Linked DNA regions of Ovis aries. The protein of the gene in region 1 binds, or shares a complex with, the protein of each later gene. Links are inferred from orthologs where the notes say so. Each region holds a gene or a part of one and is shown in the gene's direction. Other genes may lie near its edges.

Region 1 (5,616 bases):
GAGCCAGCCTGGGCGGTTAGGGACAAGTGACCCACAGGTACAGCCTGGAGACTGAGGTCCCACAGAATGTCAGCCCCAGGGTCAAGTTTGCCACATCTCCAGGTCCTTAAAGGGTGCTTAGTCCACGGTAGACTTGGCTGTGGAGTGATTGTTGAGTGATTAAACAGGTTTAAGGCATGATGAGAGGGTAAGGGCTTCAGAGCCAGGGGTTAAAGTTGGAAAGGGAACAGGATGGACATGGTGTCGACTCATTTTGATTCTTAGAAGATATAAAAGTAGAAGATAAGGACTCTGATCCTGAACTCCTCAATTGAAGATATCAGATATCCAATATGGAGACGTCAAAGTTGGCTAATGCTTCAAGCATCTGACAAATGAAAATTGAGAGATTTCCAATCAAGCATAAAAATCCTGAGTGAGAGCAGAATAAAGGCCAAAGTTCAGAGGCTAGTGAGGTGATCTGGGAGGGCTTCCTAAGAATTGTGAGTTTTTCTTCAGTTTTGAAGGAGGGAAAGAACATGATTTGACTAGAGGAACTTGGTTGGTTGGTGGGGTAGGGGTTGGTTTCCAGATGAAAGTAATGACAAATTCAAAGCTTTGGAGCTGAAAATGAACAAAGGCTACCACCAGATTAAGTCCACTTGTCCACTGCAGTGAGAAGCCATGTGGGCAGCCAGAAGACCTGGTGGGGGGAACTGGAGAGGGGAGGGGAGGCGAGAACAGCGGAAGCCAAGCACAAGGCTGAGGTTTGGTGTGGGGATCGCCAGAATGGGAGGCTGGGCTTGTCAGAAGACAAAGCAGGGGGCAAGGTGTGTGCCTTTGGGGTCTCCAGCCCCCGGGTGACAGCTCTCCGTCGGCCCGGGCAGCTGGAGTACCAGAGGCAGCAGCTCTTGGCCGACAGGCAAGCCTTCCACATGGAGCAGCTGAAGTACGCAGAGATGCGGGCCCGGCAGCAGCACTTCCAGCAGATGCACCAACAGCAGCAGCAGCCACCGCCAGCCCTGCCCCCAGGCTCCCAGCCTATCCCACCGCCAGGTGCTGCTGGGCCACCCACTGTCCACGGCTTGGCCATGGCTCCAGCCTCTGTGGCCCCGGCTCCTGCGGGCAGTGGGGCCCCTCCTGGAAGCTTGGGGCCCTCCGAACAGCTTGGGCAGGCAGGGTCAACTGTGGGGCCACAGCAGCAGCCACCAGCTGGAGCCCCCCAGCCTGGGGCCGTCCCACCAGGGGTACCCCCCCCTGGACCCCATGGTGAGTGATGGCTTCTGGAACTCTGGCTGAGTGGAGGGGTCCGGGGGAATGTTCCAGTTCCCCTTAGAGGCAGTGTGTGTTAGGTCTGGAGATAAGGGTTGACCTGTTTCTACAGATCCTCCTTCACCATGGCTATTCCCTAAGTCAGCAGGGCTCCCTCCCCAGAGCCAGAGTTTTGGAATTTTGTTCGAAGGATTTATCACTCAGTTCTAGTATCAGGAAAGGGGAAGGTGGCCTAGGAGTGACTGGGTTATCCTCACTGTGTGAGTGAGTTGGTGAGGGAGATTGTATGCCTCCAATCTTCTCCATCTCTCCTCTTCATTCCCAGGCCCCTCACCGTTCCCCAACCAACAAACTCCTCCCTCAATGATGCCAGGGGCAGTGCCAGGCAGCGGGCACCCAGGCGTGGCGGGTAATGCTCCTTTGGGTTTGCCTTTTGGCATGCCGCCTCCCCCTCCTGCTCCATCCATCATCCCATTTGGTAGCCTAGCCGACTCCATCAGTATTAACCTCCCGCCTCCTCCTAACCTGCATGGGCATCACCACCATCTCCCGTTCGCCCCGGCCACTCTCCCCCCACCTAACCTGCCTGTGTCCATGGCGAACCCTCTACATCCTAACCTGCCGGCGACCACCACCATGCCATCTTCTTTGCCTCTTGGGCCGGGGCTCGGATCCGCCGCAGCCCAGAGCCCTGCCATTGTGGCAGCTGTTCAGGGCAACCTCCTGCCCAGTGCCAGCCCACTGCCAGGTGAGAAGGGTCCTGGAGGGGACAAGGGGCGGGAGAGGGCTCCACAGGGTGGACTGGAGGGCAGGTGGGCTCGGGGCTCGGGTACCAGGGCTTCCAGGATCCTTTTTTTGAACGCCGTGGTAAAATTAGAATACAGGAGGGAAGGGCCTCTCTGGCTGTCCTCCACCATTCCCCAGCCTGGCAGCTGGCCCCTGGGATGACGCTGGGGCCTTTCACTGGTGGGTCACGGAGGAGTCCTGTGACACAGAGCATCTCAGTTGTAAACTGGAAAAACGGCTGCTTGTTTGCATGATGACTGCCGTCCCGTTTGCTTGTTCCCGTCACACTCAAGTGCCCCATTTAGAGAGTTCCCTGGAGGGCAGGAGGACAGTTAAGGGTGTAGCAGTTTTCCCAGCGTGTGGTGGGAGAGGGCACTGGGAAAAGAAGTTGTCCATCGGGGGTGCTCTCTCATCTCCCGTCCATTGCATGCCATGCCTGGTTGCGTGTCTGGTGGCCTGGGTCTGTACCCTCTCCCCTGCTCACCTCAGCTGATGCAACTTGCTTCTCTCCACAGACCCAGGCACCCCCCTGCCTCCAGACCCCACGGCCCCGAGCCCAGGCACAGTCACCCCCGTGCCACCCCCACAGTGAGGAGCCAGCCCGACATCTCTCTCCCTCCTCACCCCCCACGGAGATCAAGTTTCCAGGAACAGCCCCGTCCCCACCACTGGGACCCTTCCCCAGCCTGGAGAGTTCGTCACTACGTAAGGAAAGTCCTCCTGCCCCTCCAAAGCCCCCACCGTGCCTGTCAGGGGCATGCATTTTTATATTTGATGATTCAAGGACTTCTGTGGAAAAGATGTTTCTAATGTCTGGGAGAGAAGATAGGATGGGGACGCTGCCCTCAAAGGAAGGGCTGGGCAAAGGTGTTTCTACAAGGTCCTAATTAACCACTGTTAAGGGTACATCCCCACAAAACTACTGCATTTTTTATGGATTGAAAAAAAAAAAAAGCCCTTTAAAAGGAAGTAGAGATTTAAAAAAGCCCTCCAACCAGTGAGAAAAATCCAACTTTTACATTTTTTGGAGGAGGGAGGTGAGTTTTAGGAAAGGGGTATTAGGTTCTGGGGAGAGCTGATAGGATAGGGTGCAGGCTCCGTCTCCTCCGGCCCCTCATTAGTGACCGAGTCAGCTCCCCACCCTCCTCGGCTGCCCCGTTTATTCCCACTCCTCTCTCCTGCTGCTTCCTCAGTGTTGCTGTTTAGGCCACCCCAGCTCAGCCAATGACCCCTTTCCCTCTGAATGTCAGTTTTGTGTTTTTAAAAGTCTCCTGCGTAGTTGATGTCAGAGTATGTCTATTTGGTGGGGAAACGTCTTGGGGATTCCTGTGGTAGGTAGTGGAGGAAGAAAGGGCACGTGGGGCTGTGTGGCCCCCTCCCCGGGCTCTGACTCCCAGAAGATGCGGAGAGGGGAGCACCAAGAGAATGGGAAGTTTTAAAAGCGTGGAATTGTCAGAAAAGCACTTAAGCACCTCCTTCTTATGACGTGGTGGGCCACTCTGTCCCCTCTTCCCTCCCACCACACCCGTCATGGCTGGTATCGGGGAATTCCCTGGGATTTGGGGCAGCAGCTGGGTAGGGATGCCCAACCTAGGGGCATGCCAACCCCCTGATGGCAGCTCGTGGCTCAGCTCTGCACCCCAGATTCCAGTGCCCCCAGTACCAGCTGTCCCTCTTTATCCCTGATGTGATGACAACAGTGATCCCAAGGCTTTCCACCAGTTCTTGGTCCCTCCCACCAGGCCCTTTGTTCCTCTTGTCCCCATGTTTCTCTTCCTCTGCGTCTTGGCACCTTTCTTCTGTTCAAAATTTTCTGTAAATTTTTTTTCTTTCTTTTCCCTTTTTTTTTTATAAATTAATTTGCTTTCAGTTCCATCTTGTGGATGCCTTCTGTGTTCTCTTACCCGTGGCTGTGAGGCAGGGGGATCGGGCTGGAGCATCACCCCAGGAGTCCTCCAGCAGCACTGGGCGGGGCTGGAGGGACGCCCGGCCAACACTGGGCCTCTCTCCACAACGGGCCAAAGGCAGCACAGCTGTCAGGGCTGAACAGCCGTGCAGGAGCTGGGGAGAGGCTCTCACCTGCTCTAAAAATAGCCATTTAAGACTTGGAAGGACACCTCACAACCTGGAAATTTTGTCTATTTATCCTTTCAGTAGTGGTGGCTTCATGTCTTCCCTTATTAGGCGGGAGAAGGCAGGCATCTCAGCTGCTTGTTATTGTTGGCCCTGGGCCTCGCTGAAGTGACAGGCCCAGGCAGTACTAATATGGCCTGACTTTCACTCCAATAAACAGTTCCCGGGCTCCCTGACAAAAGACCTTCCATGCCAGGGAGGGCTAGGAGAGGACTCAGCCCCACATGGGATAGAACAAGGGTGGCCAGCCTTAGTCCTACAGGCATTTATGGCTTTCCTAATCCCCCCAAGGTAGCCTTTGTAGCACCGATGAGTGAAGCCAGCATCTCTTAAATGAGGCAAAAGTGGCTCCTACAGGCCCTTGGCTGGCTTTCCGCAACCTCTGGTCCACTGACCTTTCATCCTGCTCAGGAAGAACAGCAGAACTGCACATAGAGCAGAGAACAAGTTTATTTGGTGAATGCTGATGGTAGACATCATCCAAGAGAGAGAATCTGGGGAAAATACTGTGACAAGAGAACCTAGGAAGCCTCTGGGCTACATACACAATCTCCCACAAGGAAGGTGCAGTGTCCACGCACACTGGGAATATCCTCAGCCATTCAGCACCATGCGGACGAGCTCTGTGGAAAGGAGAGGGGGGTGAACAGGAAGCAGGGCGAAGGGGAGGGGTCCGCCAGGGGCCAGGAGACCACAGACCACAAAGGCAGCGTAGGAAGGAATGTGCCCACGACAACCAACCTTGGGGTCAGTTTGCAGTACTCTCGACCCCCAGCTCCCCTCCCACCAGCTGTTAGTTCCCCCTGCCCCACCCCGAGCAGCAAGAACACAGCAGAGGCAGAAGAGTTCCCAACTACACCTACAGCTACTGTCAGCCACTGGGGGGAGGAGGAGACAGAGTTTTGGGTTAGGGTATCTCCAAGCTGCCCAGCGGAAAGAAGAGAAGACCTACAGCAGCACGGTGGGGCAGGCAACCCACCCTCCCTGCCAACCACGTGATCCTGAGCTAAAGGATCACCATGAAGCCAGACGGGGGTAGGTAGGCTGGTGTGAGTTCCCAGACACCAGCACCCTGGAAGCCAACCAAACCTCAGACCCAGTTCTAGGAGAGGAGGAGGTGCCACACCCCCAGGCTGTCTGCCTCTTTGAGGAACCCCTCCCCTCCCCAGTCAGCTCCATGCAGAGGCATGCCGGGAAGAAGTCAGATGGTAGTAGAGGAAGGCAGGGGCTAGAGAGCAGAGGCTGGGGAAAAAAACACTGGGGAGGTCAACTAGAGAAGGGGGGCTGGGAGGAGCCGTACCCGCCCCATGGGCCCGTCACCCCGACAGGATATGCCTCACAAACGCTGCAGGAAGGAAGAGACATTCATGGTGAAGACAAGACATAGACGTGGGGTGAAGGGGTCAGGCAGTGAGGAACTGGACATCCATTTTTACTTCCCATCCC
Region 2 (6,163 bases), on another chromosome or scaffold:
TTTTCCATCCCCATCATTGTGCATGTAATGCACAGATACCAATCCCGCCAAGTACTGCATCAAAATTTTACATGAACTGAAGAATATACACATGTAACAAAAGGAGTATTGTTTTAGTCTTTACTTTCCATCTGACAAAACACCAGAAGGAATGACCAGTCTCTTCCGCTAGTATCTCACTAAAATGATTGTTCTCTCTTTCAAATTTGGGATAGCAGGTGAAAATGAATTCTTAAAAGGGATAAAGGGCACTTACTCACAAGGGAATTCAGATGAAGTCATCAATTTCTAAAAATTGGCATATAAGGTTGGCATGCCAGGGAAATGGGTCACCGCCCCCCTTCCAGCCCAAATTAAAACCTTATATTACCTAATGTATTAAGCATCACCATTGGGTTAAAGCCCTTTTATAGACAACTAGGTTATCTGGCTATATTATTAGCTGAAATTTATTAGGCAATTGAAAGTTCTGCTTTTACTACATTGCTAGTTTTGTTTAAGATTTCTCACCTAGTTAATAGTTATACTGGCATAACCTCAGGCAGAAAAACAAGTTCTTACAATAGATTCTTCAGGGCATAATATATTCTACTTCTTTTATATGTGTTATCTTTTGTTGTCTTGAGTTTCACTTTGGGATAGATAGAAAATTATGAAGCTCAGGTTAACAAGCAAGTAGCAAAGCCTTAGAAAACTACAAGGTAGGTGATCCTTGACACTCCCAGCCACCTGAAAACGGTGCCCTTGAGGATTCTTCCTCCACCAGCAATGGGCCAACAACATAAACAATTCTTGCCATTTAATGACCCCGTGCAGCATGCTGCAGCAGTGTTTGTTCCACAGCTTCATGCCTTCAACTTATCCACTGCACAATTTTAAGCGCCCTAGAACTGTATTTCAGACCCAGTTGCCCAAATAGAGCCAATTTCGCAACAGTAAAATGGTGTTAAAATAGGATTTTACTCTAGGGGGGAGAAATCTTGAACCAAATAGTCACAGTGCACTTTGCATGAGTAATTTAAACTGTTACATTACAAAATAAGGGCTATGTCATACTTTTAATAACACTACCATATAGGAACAGTTTTAATGTTGAGTCAAGCACCTACATTCATCTAAGTCTAAAATAATAGGCCCCTGATTTAAAATCTCCTAACATTCTTTCACACTTCATAAAATAAAATAAAATTCTCTCAGCAAACGCTGACCTATTCATCCAGCCAAAGTACTGTATTTCAAGGAAAATAGGAAGGAGAGGTCTCAAACCCACCGAGCGCCAGCAGTTTGCTGTCTGCAACCGTAACTGGTCTTAAATGTGGGCTGGGGGTGAAGAGACGTCAGACGGGAGAGAATAAGAGATTTATTACCTATCTTAAATCAAAAGCAGATTCCATGCTTTAACTACCCCCTATCGCCCGCCCGCCCCCAAGAGGTTGTTTTCCTTTGTTTTTTGGTATATATCTCACGGGAAGATGATAGGTGAGGGAAGGTCAAAGTGCTGTGTCTGGTCCACAGAGTCAACACAGGGGTTAGGGCGGGTTTGTTTATTTATAAAGCGTTCAGCCTCTCAGCTGTTTTTCCCTCATTGGCATTTGGAAGCTTGCAGTCCTTTAGAAAAGAGACAGATTTGGCAGGAATGTTCTTTGTGCCCTCCTTCCTTTTTACGGGGGAGAAAAGGAACAGATTGATAATTACAGCCTTGGGTGGGGGGCGGGGTGGGGGAGAAAAAGTTTCCGGCAGCACGTCGATGCCTGTTTTTTTTTTTTTTTTCATGGTCAACACTGTGCTACAAACAGCTTGGGTGCCACTTGGAGCCTTCCCCCCTTCCCCTCCCTTTACCTCCGCAGGCTCGCTCTGGCAGGCAGAGGCACAGTTAAATTCCAGCACCTTCTTCCCATACCCCTAAACTACTACACGCTATTACTACGGCTGCCCTCCCTTTCACTTAGCCTCCTCCGCTTCCCAGCCTCCCACGAGGAGGCCGGCAGGGGCCCCGGAAGACTGCCGGGGAAGGATAACGGGCGTCCAACTCCCTCCATCAGGGCTTGGGGCTTTCCGCGTCCTGCGCAGTTTTTCTGCTCCAGGCACAAACACGGCCAGGGAGCCGGCGCCTTGCAGACACACACAGATCCACGCATACTGTAGAGCTGTCTCGATCCACATTCTTGCATACCGCCCCCTCCTCCCTCCCAGAGCTCCGGGAGTCGCCGAGCGGGGCGAGTGACAGGCGCTTCCCGCCAACCCGCGCCCGGGCGGGCAGGGAGGAGCGGCGCTCTGGACCAACTGCGGCGCGTCTTCCGGCGCCCGCGGAGGCGGTGAGGGTGGGACGCGGGGCGGAGCCGGAGTTTAGGAAGAGGAGGGGATGGCTGTCATCAATGAAGTCATATTCATAATCTAGTCCTCTCTCCCTCTGTTTCTGTACTCTGGGTGACTCAGAGAGGGAAGAGATTCAGCCAGCACACTCCTCGCGAGCAAGGTAAATATAACTTACAACTCCTTTTTCCTCTTTCCCCTCCCTCCGGCCTCCGGGCTGCAGCCGCTGCACAAACCCCTCCGGCACCGCGCCGCCTTCGCCGGGGATTATTCATTATTAACCTAATTATTATTTATTGTGCATGCACGGAGACCAAAACAAACAGGCGGGCCAACCGCCGCAGCAACAACAAAAAAAGCCCGCCTCCTACCCCGCGGGCCTCAGGTGGAATGCTCTTAACGACAGCTCCCGGGCAGCAGTGGAAGAAACGCGAAAGTTTCAACCGAAGCTTGCTGTTCTAATAATAATAGTAATAATTACTACTTCAAGGATGCAAGGGGAGGAAAATCCCAACAAACCACAGCCTTGACCTTAGGTAGGCAATCAGCGATGCGCTGCCAACGGAAGGTTGCAACACACACACACACTCGGCAAGGTTGCAATCCCCTCATTCCCTTAAAAACTGGGGTTGGGGGGAGGAGGTGGCAGGAGGATCGGGAAGAGTATGGAAACGCTAAGGTTCTACTAGAGCAGTCCTCCCGGGAAGAGTTGGAAGGGGAGCGGGAGGAGAGGGCGAGGAGCCCGGGCTGACGGCTGGGCGCCAACGAACGCGGCTGCCACCAGCTTCCCTGGGACTTGTTTAAAGGGCTCCGGCTGCGGAGACAGGAGCTGGTCGCGATGGGAGAAGCCGGAGCTGGCTCGCCGAGGCAGTGGCAGCCACCGCCGCGGGGCCGCTGCGTGCGGGATCGGAGGTGTCACCTCCACTTTGCGAGCAGGGATGGGTACGCTGACCGGTAGGCAGGCCTTTAGGCAAAGGGGCTGCCGGGGGTCTGCACCCGGGGCACTGCGGACGACCCTGCCCCTGGTACCTGGTGGCCGCGCGGGCTCGGGTGTTGAAGTTCGGGGTGTCCAGCCGCGACCACACTGCTGGGAGGGAGGAAAGGAGGGAGGAGGTCCTGAAGAAGGAGGTCGGAGGTGCTCATTGGGCTGTTATCCTGCCCTCCGCCTTCTCGGGTTTGTTTTCTTTTGGTCTGCATCTTCCCCTAGCTTGGGCTGCCGGAACCTCGGGCGTGGGTCGCCGGCGATCATCCGGATGCTAGGGGAGCACCCGGGCCCAGGAGAGCCACGGTGGCTGCGGGCCGGGGAGGCCATGATCCGGATAATCCTCTCTGCCTGACTGTCACAAACAGGACCCGCGCGCACCCTGTGCAGTGGTGTTCGCTGTAGAAGGGAAGGGCTGGCGCGGGGTAGGGGGTGGGGGGGGGGGGGGGAGGCTGGTGAGGGCAGAAGGCGGGGAGACCGGGAGGGAGCCTGCCCCCAGAGATGACACGCACCGCTTCCTTCTTGTTCCCTGCTTTCGAGTTTGCTTTATTCCCATCCCAACCTGGTTTACTCCCTCCTCTGCTTCCCCCTCCATCTCGCCGTGTTCCCTCCTCCCGGTTGCGTTGCAAAACACGGCCATGCCATCTGCAAAGGTGTCGCGATGCACTTCCCCAAATAACCAGTCCGGCGCGCCAGCCCCTAGTCACCCTCTGTCTGCGGGCGCACACCAAGTGGGGCGCCCTGGGTCCCCTGCACCAGGCCTCGCAGCCTGGGCGCAGTTGCACCGCGCGGGGCGGGGCGCAGCAGTAAGGGCTCCAGGGGGACAACCGCTCCTGGGTCCCGACACTCGGACCGGTTTCCGGCACACGCGGGGAAATTGCCTCCCGCCAGTGTCTGCGCACTCGCCCCCGCCTCCACCGCCTGGATTGCATTATTATTTTTATCCTGGTTGCAGTTTGCAGCCGATCCTGGTGAGCCCGGGGCTGGCCGGACTGCTGGTAGGGGGGGTGGTGGGGGTGGCGGGTGGAGGGAAGTTGGACGTGGATCAGGCAGGAAAAAAAAAAGTTTGGCAGGGAGACTAAGGAAGGAGGGAGGGTGGGAGGGGGCGGCGAGCTCCCGCAGCTCGCGTCTCGGCGCCCTCGGGGCCGGCGCGAGTGTGTCTGCGCGTGAGTGTGAGTGTGTGTTGTGCGCTGGGGCCGGTGCGTCGCGAGCAGCGGCGCGGGCAGCTGCTCCTGCTCGTGCCCTGCCCGGGAGCCGCGGGAGGACAAGGCGAGGTTTGGTGGTGGAGGAGTGGTGGGGGTGGCGTGTGCGTGTGGCTGTGAGTGTGCGCGCGCGAGCAGCGGAGAATCAGGAAGTCACAGCAGCGAAGCGCACACAGACATGTTTGATCGCCGTGACATGACGCGCGCGAGGGAGGAAGCGGCAGCGGCTGCGGGGGCCGGGCCGCGGGCTCCAGCGCCGGCCTAGGGCTTGGGCGGGGAGACCCGCTCCCGCCGCTGGCAGGGCCGCCACAGCAGGCTAGGCTAGGCTAGCCCCGCGCCTCTTTTTGTTCCGTGTCCCCCAGGTAAGGAGCCTGAGCCTCCGCCGCCTGCCGGGTGCGGAGCTTTCCAGTTCTTTCCCTCCCGGCCCCCTCCGGTCTCCGGGTCAGGCTTTCTTGCAAAGTCAGGAGGGCGGGAGAAGCCGGCTCCCGGCCCTCCGATCGATCGCGTGGAAAACTTTCCAGCGGGAGGCACCGCGAGGGGAAGAAGGCCTTGCTGGCTGCTGTCCCTTGTCAGTTCTTTCTCCTCCGGGTCCGGAGAGTGGAGTCGCTCTGCCCCGGGGCTGTTGCACATTCAAACTTCAGGCCTTAAACGTGCCTCCAGCTTTTGCCGGATTTACTCCAGAAATTAAATATTCGAAGTCGTCTGCTTGGTCCTGCCAGGCGTTTGGGTTTTTGAAGAGCAGAAGGCAGGCATGGGAGTCGAGGGGGATGGGGGTGTTGTGCAGAATCCATTCCTTCCTTAATGTCTGCAGCGGGTGTTATGTAATTTTAGTAGCACACGGGTGCAAAGCCCATACTGGGCTTCTCCCCTCCTTTGTTTATATAACTTTTGGGAGAGTTTTGCAAGGTCCCCCTCTCCCCTTCCTTTTCTTCTTTCCGTTCTCAACCTAATGGAGCTTGGTGCATTTGAAAAAGTAAAGCGACCTGGGTCAGTATATTATTGAGAGGTGCTATCCTTAATCTCCTGGTTATTATGCAGACTGTGTTCCTAACTGTGTGTGATGTTAGGGCATAAGGAAGACATCTGTATCATCAGTAGCAGAGTTAAAATTTCAACTTCCATTTCAAAGGACTTTTTAATTTACACCTGGATGTGCTGTGCTTGTTGGAAGAGAATGCTTGTAGGCACAGAAAGATTGTTGTTTTCATTACTGAATGGAAGAAAATTTCTATCTAAGCGTGTTAAGTAAGACTCAGAAACCTCTGAGAACTGTACTGAAACAAAAGCCATGCCCAGTGTTAGTTGTGTGTATATACTTAACACTTGCACATTCAAATGTTTCAGTATTATCTTATTTGCAGGACCACTGCCCCAGGCTTGTTTGCCTATAATAGCTATGCTAGGCTTCTAGCTTACCTCTAGCTTCCTGGTGAATTGTTAAGAGGTGTGGCAGAGGTTTGAATCCAAGTTGGTGAATTGTTATGCAGATAAAACACCTTTTTCTCTTTTAGGAATCTAATTGTCCTTTTATTCTCCTAGACAATTTTTTTTTTTTTTAAAGCTTCCTAACAACTTGAGTGTTTGTTGGTGGGAAGAGATTTGGAGATACCATTAGGTATCAAAGATATTTATGGATGTGACTTGAAGTAGAAAAGCAAACCTGTAC
Region 3 (6,086 bases), on another chromosome or scaffold:
GGGTCAGGAAGATCCCCTGGAGAAGGAAATGGCAACCCACTCCAGTACTCTTGCCTGGAAAATCCCATGGACAGAGAAGCCTGGTAGACTACAGTCCATGGGATCGCAAACAGTCGGACATGACTGAACGACTTCACTTCACTCCCTTGGTTGGAGGCTTTAAAAAAAAAAAACAAACCTCTGTTTTGTAATTAAGGACACAACCCTGTGAGAAGCAAATATACTTACTCAGCCAAGGTCAAACAGCTGGTCATGTGTATAGATGGACCTCAGATCTCGTCTTTTTATTCATTCTCTGACCTGGAGACCATGTATTCTAATCTAAAGTGGTTTTGTGCCCGTGAAAGTTGTGAAGTTGTTGCCACTTAGAAGCCAGACCTCACTCTTGCTGTGGCACTCAGTTTAGGTTATCAGAGAGGATGGCGCAGAGGGGACACATTCCTGGTTCTAATCTGCTTCTGGCTCTTTCTGTTGGGGTGGGGGATTTGGGTAGGTACTAAATGGGGAAAACTGGGGTTGGGATTTGTGAGCTTTCAGCTTTTTATGGACATTATTTTAGCCCCTTATGAAAAAGGACCCTCAGACATTTTAAGCCAACAGATGCCTAAGAACCACCTTCTCCATCTGCTTCTGGTTGCCACTGGGGTGAGGGCGGGGGGAAGCCTTAAATTCTCTAAACTTCATTAGCACACATTATTTTTCAGTGGGAAGCATGTCTGGTTTTGATGAGATACCCATAAAGGTTATTAATTTCTGCCAGAACCCAAATGGAGGCATCGCCACAGAGAACTGCTGCGGTTGCAGACCACCTGGGAGACATTCAGAGGTCTCCAGTTGAATGGGAGTTGCTTAGTTCTAGAAAGTGGCCTGGAATTCAGAGGCAACTTAATTGGAGACTTCTCATCCTCCTTTGTCTTTTTGGAACCATGCAGGTGGCTGAAATTTAGGTACATCTGAGAAACACCATAATGTCTAAAGCTGTTCCAGAGCCATCTGCTCAGATCAGTGCAGAAAATAAAATGCCATGGTCAACCAAGCTTTGTTTTGAGCTTGCACCAGAAAAGGAAAAGAAACTGAGGCTAATGTTTCAGTTTTGAAAGTACAGCCATCCTGATTGTAGTGGTGCTGGGTGTGGGTCATGAAAAGCATCAGAATTCAGGCCTGTCTATTATCCCAACCTCTGCAAAGTAACTTTTGTGGTTTCTGAGTGTTCTGAAAGTCACTAGAAGACAAATGTAGCCCAATGTGGCAAGCCCCTGAAATGCCACAACCACTGAAACAGTTTTTGCCCAGCCATGGTTTTCCAGCAGGGGCCTATGTAAGCATGACCCTAGCATTAAATAATCTTTAAACATGTAGGTATTTAACAAGGAAAGATAAAGAAGTGGCCTGGGGAGAGGGGATACGGAGGGGATAGGTAAGTGGATAAAACTACTGTGTGGTCTGGAACTCTGAGAAGATGATTGTTTAACAGCAAGAGAGACTGATGTTATGATCTATTGCAAGTTCCAAAGTTTTCTTTAGTTGTGTGAGCAACTGGGGAGAGATGAGGTGTTGTGGTGTTTTTGTAATCTGTTTTTCTTATTGGTCCGGTTACTAGTGTTTCACAGTCTGTCAACCCATATGGATGAATGGAGCTAGCATCATAAAACTGTCACTGAAGGAAGGTTTTTGAAGCCTGTGATTTGCATCAGAGTTTTAAAAGCAGTGGCTAGGAGGTGTTTGGGTCAGGGGAGGGGAGAAGAGGAGCAACCTATGCTGGAAATGTCTAGGTTGTGTGTTTGTGAATAGTAGTAGTAGGTGGGGGGTTACAAGGAAAGCAGGCTAAGATTTAGGGGGCTGTGTTTGAAAGCAGGGAGGGGCAGGAGCTCCTAATAATAGGGTTCAAATAGCCCACGTTGAGACCTTCACCTCCAGGACTTAGTTCTGAGTCCAAGGAACAATGATGATACGTGTCTAATCCCCCTTTGCACCCTCTCCTCCCTCCTCGAGTCCAGAGCTTGCTGTCATCTTAGGTTGCTATGAAATGAGTGAGTTTTTCTCATTGTTGAATATTCACTTCAAAAATCTGCTGTGGTATTAACTTCAACTGGAAGCTCCACCAGAAAAGGTTTTTCAGTTCTCAAACTTTCACCAGTCATCCCTATGTCCTTATGTCAAACTCCATCCCTCTTATACTTTCTCACCAGTGACTATGCTTTTGTAGCTTCAGAAGTAAAAGCTTCAGGGAGAGGATCCCGGAGATTTGAGCTCAGTTTTCAGCCCTACTGCTCACCAGCTATGAGACCTTAGACCCAGAACTTCTCTGAGCCACATATTCCTTGTCTTAAAGGTGAGGGTGATGCACCTTGATTGCCAAATTCCTTTCCAGTAAAAAACTGGGGCCTCTTGACTATGGTGGATTAGGAAGGATGAGGAGGACAGTTAGGGACCAGTGTTTGAATTCCTCCTCATTTTTTAAGTGTGGCTCTAAAAGGGAGTTAAGACTGGTAGGCTCTCCTGTAGTTTCATCTTCTCTGGTTCCTGTCTTGCCACCTTCTGTTGCCACTGGGCTCTGATCTCTCTCTTCTCAGCGCCCAAGGCTGAGGGCCAGGTGGTGGCCCACTGAGAACGTGGTCTTTTCTTCTGATGCTCCCTTTTGAACACTTTTCTCCTCATTAACACTCCAACCAGGGGATGAAGACGGGAAAGAGAAATGAGAAGATTAATTGGCCTATTTTTTTCTGTTTACAAGCACTCAGATTATGTTTTTGGTTGTGCAAAAGACTAGAATTATTGAGAACATCTCTCTTTTTCTTCCTGTTTTGTGTAAATGTATGGTGGAAGAAAGGGAACCGAGCAAAAGATTTTCTTCTCTGGATTTCATTTATCTACAGTCTCCTTCAATCTACTGTTCTTCTAACATGGCACCCATCCCAGTTAACATGGAAATAAATGCTTACTTCATTTCCATTTGGGCAGTTGCAAATGCCCTACCATTCAGTGAACTGCAGTGGGTGGGCCTGTACTGATGTCTCAGTGAGCTTCCTCTGTTGCACCCCGTGATGCTGCTGAGGAAATGGAGGTGTTCAGTAGACACAGAGTCTGGCCTTACGCAGGTGAGTATTAGCAGTGTCTAAAGTGGAATTCACTGCCTCTCATTCAGTGATATGCCTCCAGAACATGCCAGATTCCTCTGGAGGCATTATTATCAGGCTTTCCTTTGGTTGACAGCTAGCTCCCTTGGCAATTTTCTACATGTCTAAAGGAGGAAGAGGGGGTTGTTAAAACCATCAGAACATTCACAGAAGCCTGAATTGTGAGAATTAGGCAAAATGAAAGAAAAAACAAAATGGTCTCCTTGACCTCCAGCCTACAGAGGCAGTCCCTTAAATTTTTTTGTACTTGTGGTAAGATGTATCAATACATAACATGTATATTTAGCATGTATGACATGTAGACATACCATTTTAGCCTTTTTTAAAGTGTTCAGTTCACTGGCATTAAGTACATTCATAGTGTTGTATAACTACCAGAATATTCTGTATTCATTTCCAGAATTTAAAAAGTCATCCTAAACACACTCTATATCCATTAAACAATAACATCCTCTGTTTTAATGAGGACATCCTCCTCCCACCCCATCCCAGTGTGGTAACCACCATTGTACTTTCTGTCTGTATGAATTTGCCTGTTCTAAGCACCTCATATGAGTGGAATCATACAATATCTGTCCTTTCGTGACTGGCTTATTGCACTTAGTATAGTGTTCTTAATGCTCATCTGTGTTACAGCATGTGTCAGGACTTCCTTCCTTTTTATGGCTGAGTAATAGTCCACTGTATATATATGCCTTATTTTGCTTATCCATGCATCCAGGGATGGGTCCTGGGGTTGTTTCCACCTTGTGGCGATTGTGAATAGTACTGCTATGAACATGGGTGTGTAAGTAGCTGTTTGAATCCCTGCTCTCAGTTCTTTGGGGTATATGCCTAGACCCCCCCTTCATTTTTAGACTCACTAAGATTCATGGAGTACATTTCTAGATAGTATAGGCAACTCCTTTCTTCTAAACTTAAAAAAAATACTCATGGCATCATAGAATTCAACCTCTTTACCTGCCTCCCACTTTAGGACTACCACTATTTTGGGGGTGGAGGATAAATGCCCCAGGAACTCAGAGACTCACTTCTTTTATCCCCAGCCAGAGGATTGCCTTCATCTTGTCACCACCCCCCCACCCCCAACCCGTTGAGGGCAGGGACTCCCTTGGGGTCAGGGTCTGGATATGGGGAGGCCCCAGAGGCTGCAGCACTAGTTGTCACCTGGTGGGGCTGGAGCGAAGGTTTCCCAGGCAGTGGAGGTCTCATCAGGCAGCAGGTGTTCCTGCTGGAAACACCTGGGATGACAGGACAGCTTGAAGGTCAGGAGGTAGTAAATCTGACCTATCTTTTCATAAGGGGAGAAGGGCATGCATCTCATTTGGCCTCCCTTCCCTGCGCTAAGCCCTGCTTACCACCCCCTGAAGGGCCCAAATGAAACAATGGATGTGAAAACACTTCAGAAAGTGTAAAGTACAAATGGGAGGTGTTACTAGAGCTGCCAAGTGCCCCCCACCCCTGCCCCGTAGCTAACCTGGGGGGAGGGAGGGGGGCGCTTCTCAGAGAGTCAACAATATCGCAAGTATCAAACATCACTTTATTATATTAAAACCAAAATTAATGAAAAGATCCTGGCATTCCACATCCTGTCTAACCATTGTTTCTCAGGAAATGCAAAGCTTCACTCATCCAGCTGTGTGTAAATAGCCCTGGAATCTCAGTGGGGTTTTCCCATCTTCCGGGTTTGAAATAGGTGAGAATAGGAGCTCAAGGGAAGCCTTCGTTTCATTTTCCATTGTCAACCCCATACTGAGTCCATCCTCAATCAGAGGAAACAGAAGCTGGCGGGCAGAGGGAGCATTCTCCTGGAACTTGGGCTCTGGTCATCCAGCAGTCTCTGGCTCCTTCTACCAAGAAGACTCCAGGGAGAGAGAAGGGGAGAAGGTGGGGCTGGGGTTTAAATCTGCTAGTAAGCAAGGAGGATGTGATGTTGGCGTTAGGGGTCAGTGGCAAGAATTAATTCTTTGTACATGAGTAGATGTGGGCAGCATGGTGGTGAGGGTCAGATCTCGGAATAACAGAGTTATTTGCCAGCCTTGGAAATGCTTCAGATTCAAGCTTGCTACAGAAACACAGCATTCCTGTACTTTATAAAAGCAAATTAAGAGAGAAATGTCATCCTTGCTCCCATTCTCCTCAACTAGGGACTCTTTACTTGTCTTTGTTGGGCTGATAGTTGAGCTTAGTGAGAACTGTCTCACCCTCTTTGGAACTTTCTTCATCCTGTCCTGGCCAGTCCTGCCTGCCAGTCTGCCCCTTGGTCCTAAGCAGCATAGTAGCCTCCCTCTTGGTATCTAGGACCTTCCACTCCAAGGAAGGCCTCCAGTCTGTCTGTTTCTCCTTCCAGATCCTTGATCTTTGACAGGACAAAGTAAATGCTTGTAAACCGGGAGGTGGACTGTTCCCCTAGGCTGCTAGGGAAGCCACTGTTGTTTGTGGGGGCGGGGGAGGAGGGGAGGCAATGTGGTGCTGGAGGTGGGGGAGGGCAGGGTGGATGGGGTAGTCGAAGTGGAGAGAATATATTCTCTCCTGCTAATTATTTTCCCCGAGGACTTAGCCAATGCAGAACCATCTATTATCGTGGGAGCGCTCTATGGTGGTTCTGCCTGTGATGAATGCTAAGTGGAAACAAGCAAGAAAAATTAACAGGCGGCTGCTTCTGTCCACCTAATTAAAATGCATATCCAAATGCATAATTCCTTATGTTTCCCCATGCACACACTCCCCTTCCAATCCCAATTCTATGGAGGAAAAAAACCCTACTTTCTCCCAATCATTTCTCTTGATTATACTTCCATCAAGAGAGAACTGGAGGGTTCCTTTAGAATAGTGAAGGGCCATTTTTGTAACACTCTAAAATTGCTGGGTTTTTTTTTTTTGGTTAGATTGGCCCCCAAAATTCTGAGCTCTTTTTTGTTTAAAATGAAGAACAGAAACTTTATCTGA
Region 4 (5,640 bases), about 23 Mb from region 1:
GTTCAAATTTGGAGGGTTATTTTGGTATATCCATTATAATAAAAAATCTTTGTCGTTTATACATGAAGTCAATAATAATTTTTATCTGTGTTGATACATAGATCTTTATCTAGAGAAATCTATATGTAGATATAGACACAAACTAGCTTACAATTTAGAGATTGCTTTTATGTTAACTTGTTAACTTAGTATTCAAAATTAGTTTACTCATGTAAAAAAATGCCAGAAATATCCCCACTTTACAGATGTGAAACCTGAAGCACAAAGGGGCAAATTGAATGGTTCAAAGTCATGCAGCCAGTGAGGGGCAGAAACAGGACTTTCTCCCTGAGAGCCAGTTCTCTCACCACTGTTCCCTCAGCAGAATACACCAGATACTGATGCAGTTTTTCTATGTGGCAAAGGAAACCTAGAGTAGTTTGAATCTCATTTTTATAAACTCTGTCTCTGCAGTCCCTCCATCTTTGCTAAAGGACATTAGAGCTATACTGAAATGATTAATTGAAATTGGTTAATAAAAAATTCTATAAGATAGTAATAGTTTGAAATGTAGTAGTTAGCATAACTTCATGTTATTATCGTATTAGGTTGTCTTTTCCTGGGTGACCTATACATATACCAGTACACTCTTAGGAGATAAATTTTACTTGTAGGTACCATTTAGCAAAACTAATTTGCAGCTCAACTTGTAGACTATTCTTTGTTAACATCTTTACATTGCATTCAAAGATATGAACTCAACTTTTAAGCTATGTTGTGTTTATATATATATGAGCTGTACTAGGACATCTGTTGTTTGCTTTAAAGTTGATAGATTGCAAATAAAAGACCACGAACCCTTTTGCCTCAGTTGGCACAAAGAGTAATTATTACTGCTGGGCCACCAGAGCTTTTACTCACGCTGTGTCTACCTCGATAACCACGTTCAGGTTTGGCAGGTTAGTCATTTGTTGTCAGTCTGCCTGAACTGTCATGTTAACAGTCTCTTCCTCTCCCTGGTATATTTAGGCAGCCAGCTGTAGGGGGCACAAGCTCAGCTCCTAGAGCACAAAAGGCCATTGTGAATCATCCCAGTGCTGCCCTTATGGCTCTAAGGAGAGGATCAAGAAATCTTGTCTTTCGAGACTTTACAGTAAGTAAGCCTTGGAAGCCTTAACTGTGAAGGTGTGAACACTGTATGATTTAGACCTTTATTCTTTTTCTTTTCTTTTCCTTTTTAAGGATGAAAAAGAGGGACCAATAACTAAACACATCCGACTAACAGCTGCCTTAATATTAAAAAACATTGGTAAATATTCAGAATGTGGTCGCAGGTGAGTAATCTGTTTTCTGTAGTCAGAGTGAATTTTTATTTTACTGTTACCTGTAAGTTTAGATATCTGCATTGTATTCACTGTTTTTCTCATCAATTTTTGGATGTCCAAAAGCTTATGTCAAAGTAGACTGTCGTAGATTCTTAAAAGCCACAAAAGTGGAAGTTGAAACAACCAAAAGGTGTTCTTGAACTTGTTCAAGTTAAATTTCTTGTTCATCATAGCATTTAGAGGAAAAAGTAGGTCTACCAAAGAACACTTGGGAGTTTACTAGGAGGAAAAAGGAATTCGTTACTTGAATCATGTGGAATTAGAATGGAATTCAGTTTGATAATTGCCGTTTTGATGAAACCATCAAAGTCATAGATATGCTAAGATTCTTGGACTTACGAGAAAACTTAGTATTTTATAAATCTATGGAAACTGGAAACAGCTCTAACTCTTGAGAAAGCAAATGTAGATTTGTCTCCTTTGAACCTTGAAAATAATCTTTTAGTATTCTTCCTCCATCTTCAGCTGACTCAACTTGGGCTCGTTAGTTGGGAAGTCATGCTTTAATGCATCTTGCCTTCCAGACAGTGCTTTTCTCTCCTACTTTTTCTCTTCTCACATGCTGTTAATCGAATCTACCTTGGTTCTCCTCCTCCTATTTTACTTTGTGTTGGATCTTAATATTCCTTGTAGTTACATTCCAACTGGACTTTCTGAGCAAAAAAACAGAGGCATCAATTACAAAGAAGCAATTACTTTAATATCAAACTTTAAAACTTAGGTAAATTTAAAGCGAATAAAACTTGTTTAAAAAAAGTGTTTGCAATAACGAAAGTTACTATATTTCATGAATCAAGTATTCCCACAGAGGAATAAGAAAAAATTCTTAACATTCAAATTAAAAATAAAGTTTTTTCAGAAAAGAAATAAGAAGGTTTTGTCACTAGCATCTCCCAATTGCATTTATAGTATCATTTCTTCCTTCCTGTCTCACTATATTTCTCTTCCTACTCCTTCTTTGGCTGCATATCAATTTTAGCCAAATTGAACCGCATGCAGATTCCATCCACCCTAGATGTCTTTCATGTCACACTTTTGTATCTTCCCTGGGTTGAGGCCCATTGAGCATCTGCAAGCCTTCCCTAATCCAGCTCAGACGCTGGCGTCTGTGTGCTGCCTTTCCTGTGCTGTTTTCCTCTTCCTCATTGAGTCTGTGTTTATAACATTTCTGTTTTATAACATTTCATCTTACGTTTTGTAAGTGGGTTTTCATATGGCTTTCCACCCTACTGTATCTCTCAGATCTAATCTCTTGACTCTATTGTCACTTCCACTGTATAATCATAAGGGATTTGATTTAGGCCACACCTGAATGGCCTAGTGGTTTTCTGTACTTTCTTCAATTTAAGTGTAAATTTTGCAATAAGAAGCTCATGATCTGAGCCACAGTCGGTTCCAGGTCTTGTTTTTGCTGACTGTATAGAGCTTCTCCATCTTCAGTATTGACCATCTGGTGACGTCCATATGTAGAGTCATCTCTCGTGTTATTGGAAGAGGGTGTTTGCTATGACCAGTGCTGCATTCTCCTGGCAAAACTTTGTTAGTCTTGGCCCTGCTTCATTTTGTACTCCAAGGGCAAACTTTCCTATTAACTCCAGGTATCTCTTAACTTCCTACTTTCGCATTCCAGTCCCCTATGATAAAGTGGACATCTTTGGTGTTAGTTCTAGGTCTTTTAGGTCTTCAAAGAACTGTTCAGCTTCATCTTTGGCATTAGTGGTTGGGGCATAGGCTTGGATGACTGTGATGTTGAATGGGTTGCCTGGGAAAGGAACTGAGATCATCCTGTCATTTTTGAGACTGCACCCAAGTACTACATTTTGGACTCTCGTTGATTATGGTAATTAGTAGTAATTATGGAGTGATTAAATTACTCCATTTCTTCTAAGGGATTCTTGCCCACAGTAGTAGATATAATAGTCATCTGAATTAAATTCTCCCATTCCAGTCCATTTTAGTTCACTGATAGCTAAAATGTCGATGTTCACTCTCGCCACCTCTTGTTTGACCACATCCAATTTATCTTGATTCATGGACCTAACATTCCAGGTTCCTAACAATATGTTTCTTTACAGCATTGGACTTGACTTTCACCACCAGAAACATCCACAACTGGTCATTGTTTTTGCTTTGGCTCAGCCCCTTTTCTAAAGCTATTTCTCTACTCTTACCCAGTAGCATATTGGACGCCTACTGACTTGAGGGGCTCATCTCTAGTTTCATATCTCTTTGCCTTTTCATATTGTCAATGGGGTTCTAAAGGCAAGAATACTGAAGGAGTTTGTCATTCCCTTCTCCAGTAGACCACGTTTTGTCAGAACTCTCCACCATGACCCAACCATCTAGGGTGGCGGATAAGGGTCATTAAGTTACATAAGGCATCCATGTGATCATTTTGGTTAGTTTTCTGTGATGTGGTTTTCATTCTGGAGGCCATAGGATTGCAATTCTTGCTTCTTCTGTTATGGAGGGTGTGACCAAAGCCATCCCAAAGAAAAAGAAATGCAAGAAAGCAAAATGGTTGTCTGAGGAGGCCCTGCAGTTAGCGGAGAAAAGAAAAGAAGTGAAAGGCAAGGAGAAAGAAGAGAAAGATATGCCCAACTGAATGCAGAGCTTCAAAGAATAATAGGGAGAGATAAGAAAGGCTTCTTAAGTGAACAGTACAAAGAAATAGAGGAAAACAATAGAATGGGAACAACTAGAGATCTCTTCTAAAAGAGAGATACCAAGGGAACATTTCATGCAAAAATGGGCTCAATAAAGGACAGAAATGGAATGGACCTAACAGAAGCAGAAGATATTAAGAAGAGGTGGCAAGATTACACAGAAGAACTGTATAAAAAGGATCTTAACGACTTGGATAACCACAATGGTGGGGTCACTCACCTAGCATCGGATATCCTGGAGTGTGAAGTCAACTGGACCTTAGGAAGCATTGCTACGAACAAAGCTAGTGGAAGTGATAGAATTCCACTGGAACTATTTTAAATCCTAAAAGATAATGCTATTAATGTGCTGCACTCAGTATGCCAGCAAATTTGGAAAACTCAGCAGTGGCCACAGGATGGGAGAAAGTCAGTTTTCATTCCAACCCCAAAGAAAGGCAATGCCAAAGAATGGTCAAACTACCATACAATTGTGCTCATTTCACATGCTAGCAAGATATTGCTCAAAATCCTTCAAGCAAGGCTTCAGCAGTATGTGAATGAAGAACTTCCAGATGTTCAAGCTGGATTTAGAAGACAGAGGAACCAGAGATCAAATGCCAGTATCCACTGGATCATAGAAAAAGCTAGAGAATTCCAGAAAAACATCTACTTTCCTTCACTGACTATGTTAAAGCCTTTGACCATGTGCGTCATAACAAACTGCGGAAAATTCTTGAAAAAAATGGCAATACTAAATCACCTTTCCTGCTTCCTAAGAAACCTGTATGCAGATCAGGAGGTACCAGTAGAACCAGACATGGAACAATGGACTGGTTTCAAATTGGAAAAGGAGTATGTCACGGCTATAGATTGTCACTCTGCTTATTTAACTTAAAGGCAGAGTACATTATGTGAAATGTCAGACTGGATGAATTACAAGCTGGAATCAAGATTGCCAGTAGAAGTACTACAGCCTCAGATATGTAGATGATACCACCCTAATGGCAGAAAGCAAAGAAGAACTAAAGAGCCTCTTGATGAAAGTGAAAGAGGAGAGTGGAGAAGCTGACTTAAAACTCAACATTCAAAAAACTAAGATCATGGCTTCTGGTCCCATCACTGATGGCAAATAGATGGGACCATCATTCATGACAATAAATGAAAACAATGAAAGACTTTATGGTGTTGGGCTCCAAAATCATTGCCGATGGTGACTGCAGCCATGAAATTAAAAGACACTTGCTCCTGGAAAGAAAGGGACAAACCTAGACAGCATATTAAAAAGCAGAGATATCACTTTACTGATGAAGGTCCATATAATCAAAGCTATGGTCTTTTTAGTAATCAGGTAGGGACATGAGAGTTGGACCATAAAGAAGGCTGATCGCTGAAGAATTGATGCTTTTGAACTGTGGCACTGGAGAAGGCTCTTGAGAGTCCCTTGAACAGCAAGGAGATCAAACCAGTTAATCCTAAAGGAAATCAACCCTGAATATTCATTGGAAGGACTGATGCTGAAGCTAATGCTCCAGTGGTTTGGCAGTCAGATGCAAGGAACCAAATCATTGGAAAACACCCTGATGCTGGGAAAGACTGAAGGCAGGAGGAGAAGAGGGTGGCAAAAAATG

Evidence for each region.
Region 2: SMARCC2 (region 1) and SMARCA2 share a complex: the UniProt entries of both Homo sapiens proteins name them as parts of the BAF complex. The link is inferred for Ovis aries from reciprocal best matches to the Homo sapiens genes SMARCC2 and SMARCA2.
Region 3: SMARCC2 (region 1) and DPF3 share a complex: the UniProt entries of both Homo sapiens proteins name them as parts of the BAF complex. The link is inferred for Ovis aries from reciprocal best matches to the Homo sapiens genes SMARCC2 and DPF3.
Region 4: SMARCC2 (region 1) and ARID2 share a complex: the UniProt entries of both Homo sapiens proteins name them as parts of the SWI/SNF-B (PBAF) chromatin remodeling complex. The link is inferred for Ovis aries from reciprocal best matches to the Homo sapiens genes SMARCC2 and ARID2.

The regions. Positions count from the first base shown.
Region 1 is NC_056056.1:163,374,570-163,380,185, forward strand, and holds the end of SMARCC2 (SWI/SNF complex subunit SMARCC2), read left to right. Parts: intron 1-866; coding exon 867-1,248; intron 1,249-1,576; coding exon 1,577-1,999; intron 2,000-2,552; coding exon 2,553-2,629; 3' UTR 2,630-3,912; downstream 3,913-5,616. Other genes in the region: MYL6 (myosin light polypeptide 6), read right to left, coding at 4,765-4,793. UniProt on the Homo sapiens protein: Involved in transcriptional activation and repression of select genes by chromatin remodeling (alteration of DNA-nucleosome topology).
Region 2 is NC_056055.1:70,273,152-70,279,314, forward strand, and holds the start of SMARCA2 (probable global transcription activator SNF2L2), read left to right. Parts: upstream 1-2,352; 5' UTR 2,353-2,476; exon of another isoform or gene 2,477-2,849; intron 2,850-4,195; exon of another isoform or gene 4,196-4,293; intron 4,294-4,477; exon of another isoform or gene 4,478-4,859; intron 4,860-6,163. UniProt on the Homo sapiens protein: ATPase involved in transcriptional activation and repression of select genes by chromatin remodeling (alteration of DNA-nucleosome topology).
Region 3 is NC_056060.1:82,480,363-82,486,448, reverse strand, and holds the start of DPF3 (zinc finger protein DPF3), read left to right. Parts: upstream 1-1,782; 5' UTR 1,783-6,086. UniProt on the Homo sapiens protein: Belongs to the neuron-specific chromatin remodeling complex (nBAF complex).
Region 4 is NC_056056.1:140,601,016-140,606,655, reverse strand, and holds part of ARID2 (AT-rich interactive domain-containing protein 2), read left to right. Parts: intron 1-1,008; coding exon 1,009-1,132; intron 1,133-1,221; coding exon 1,222-1,313; intron 1,314-5,640. UniProt on the Homo sapiens protein: Involved in transcriptional activation and repression of select genes by chromatin remodeling (alteration of DNA-nucleosome topology). Required for the stability of the SWI/SNF chromatin remodeling complex SWI/SNF-B (PBAF).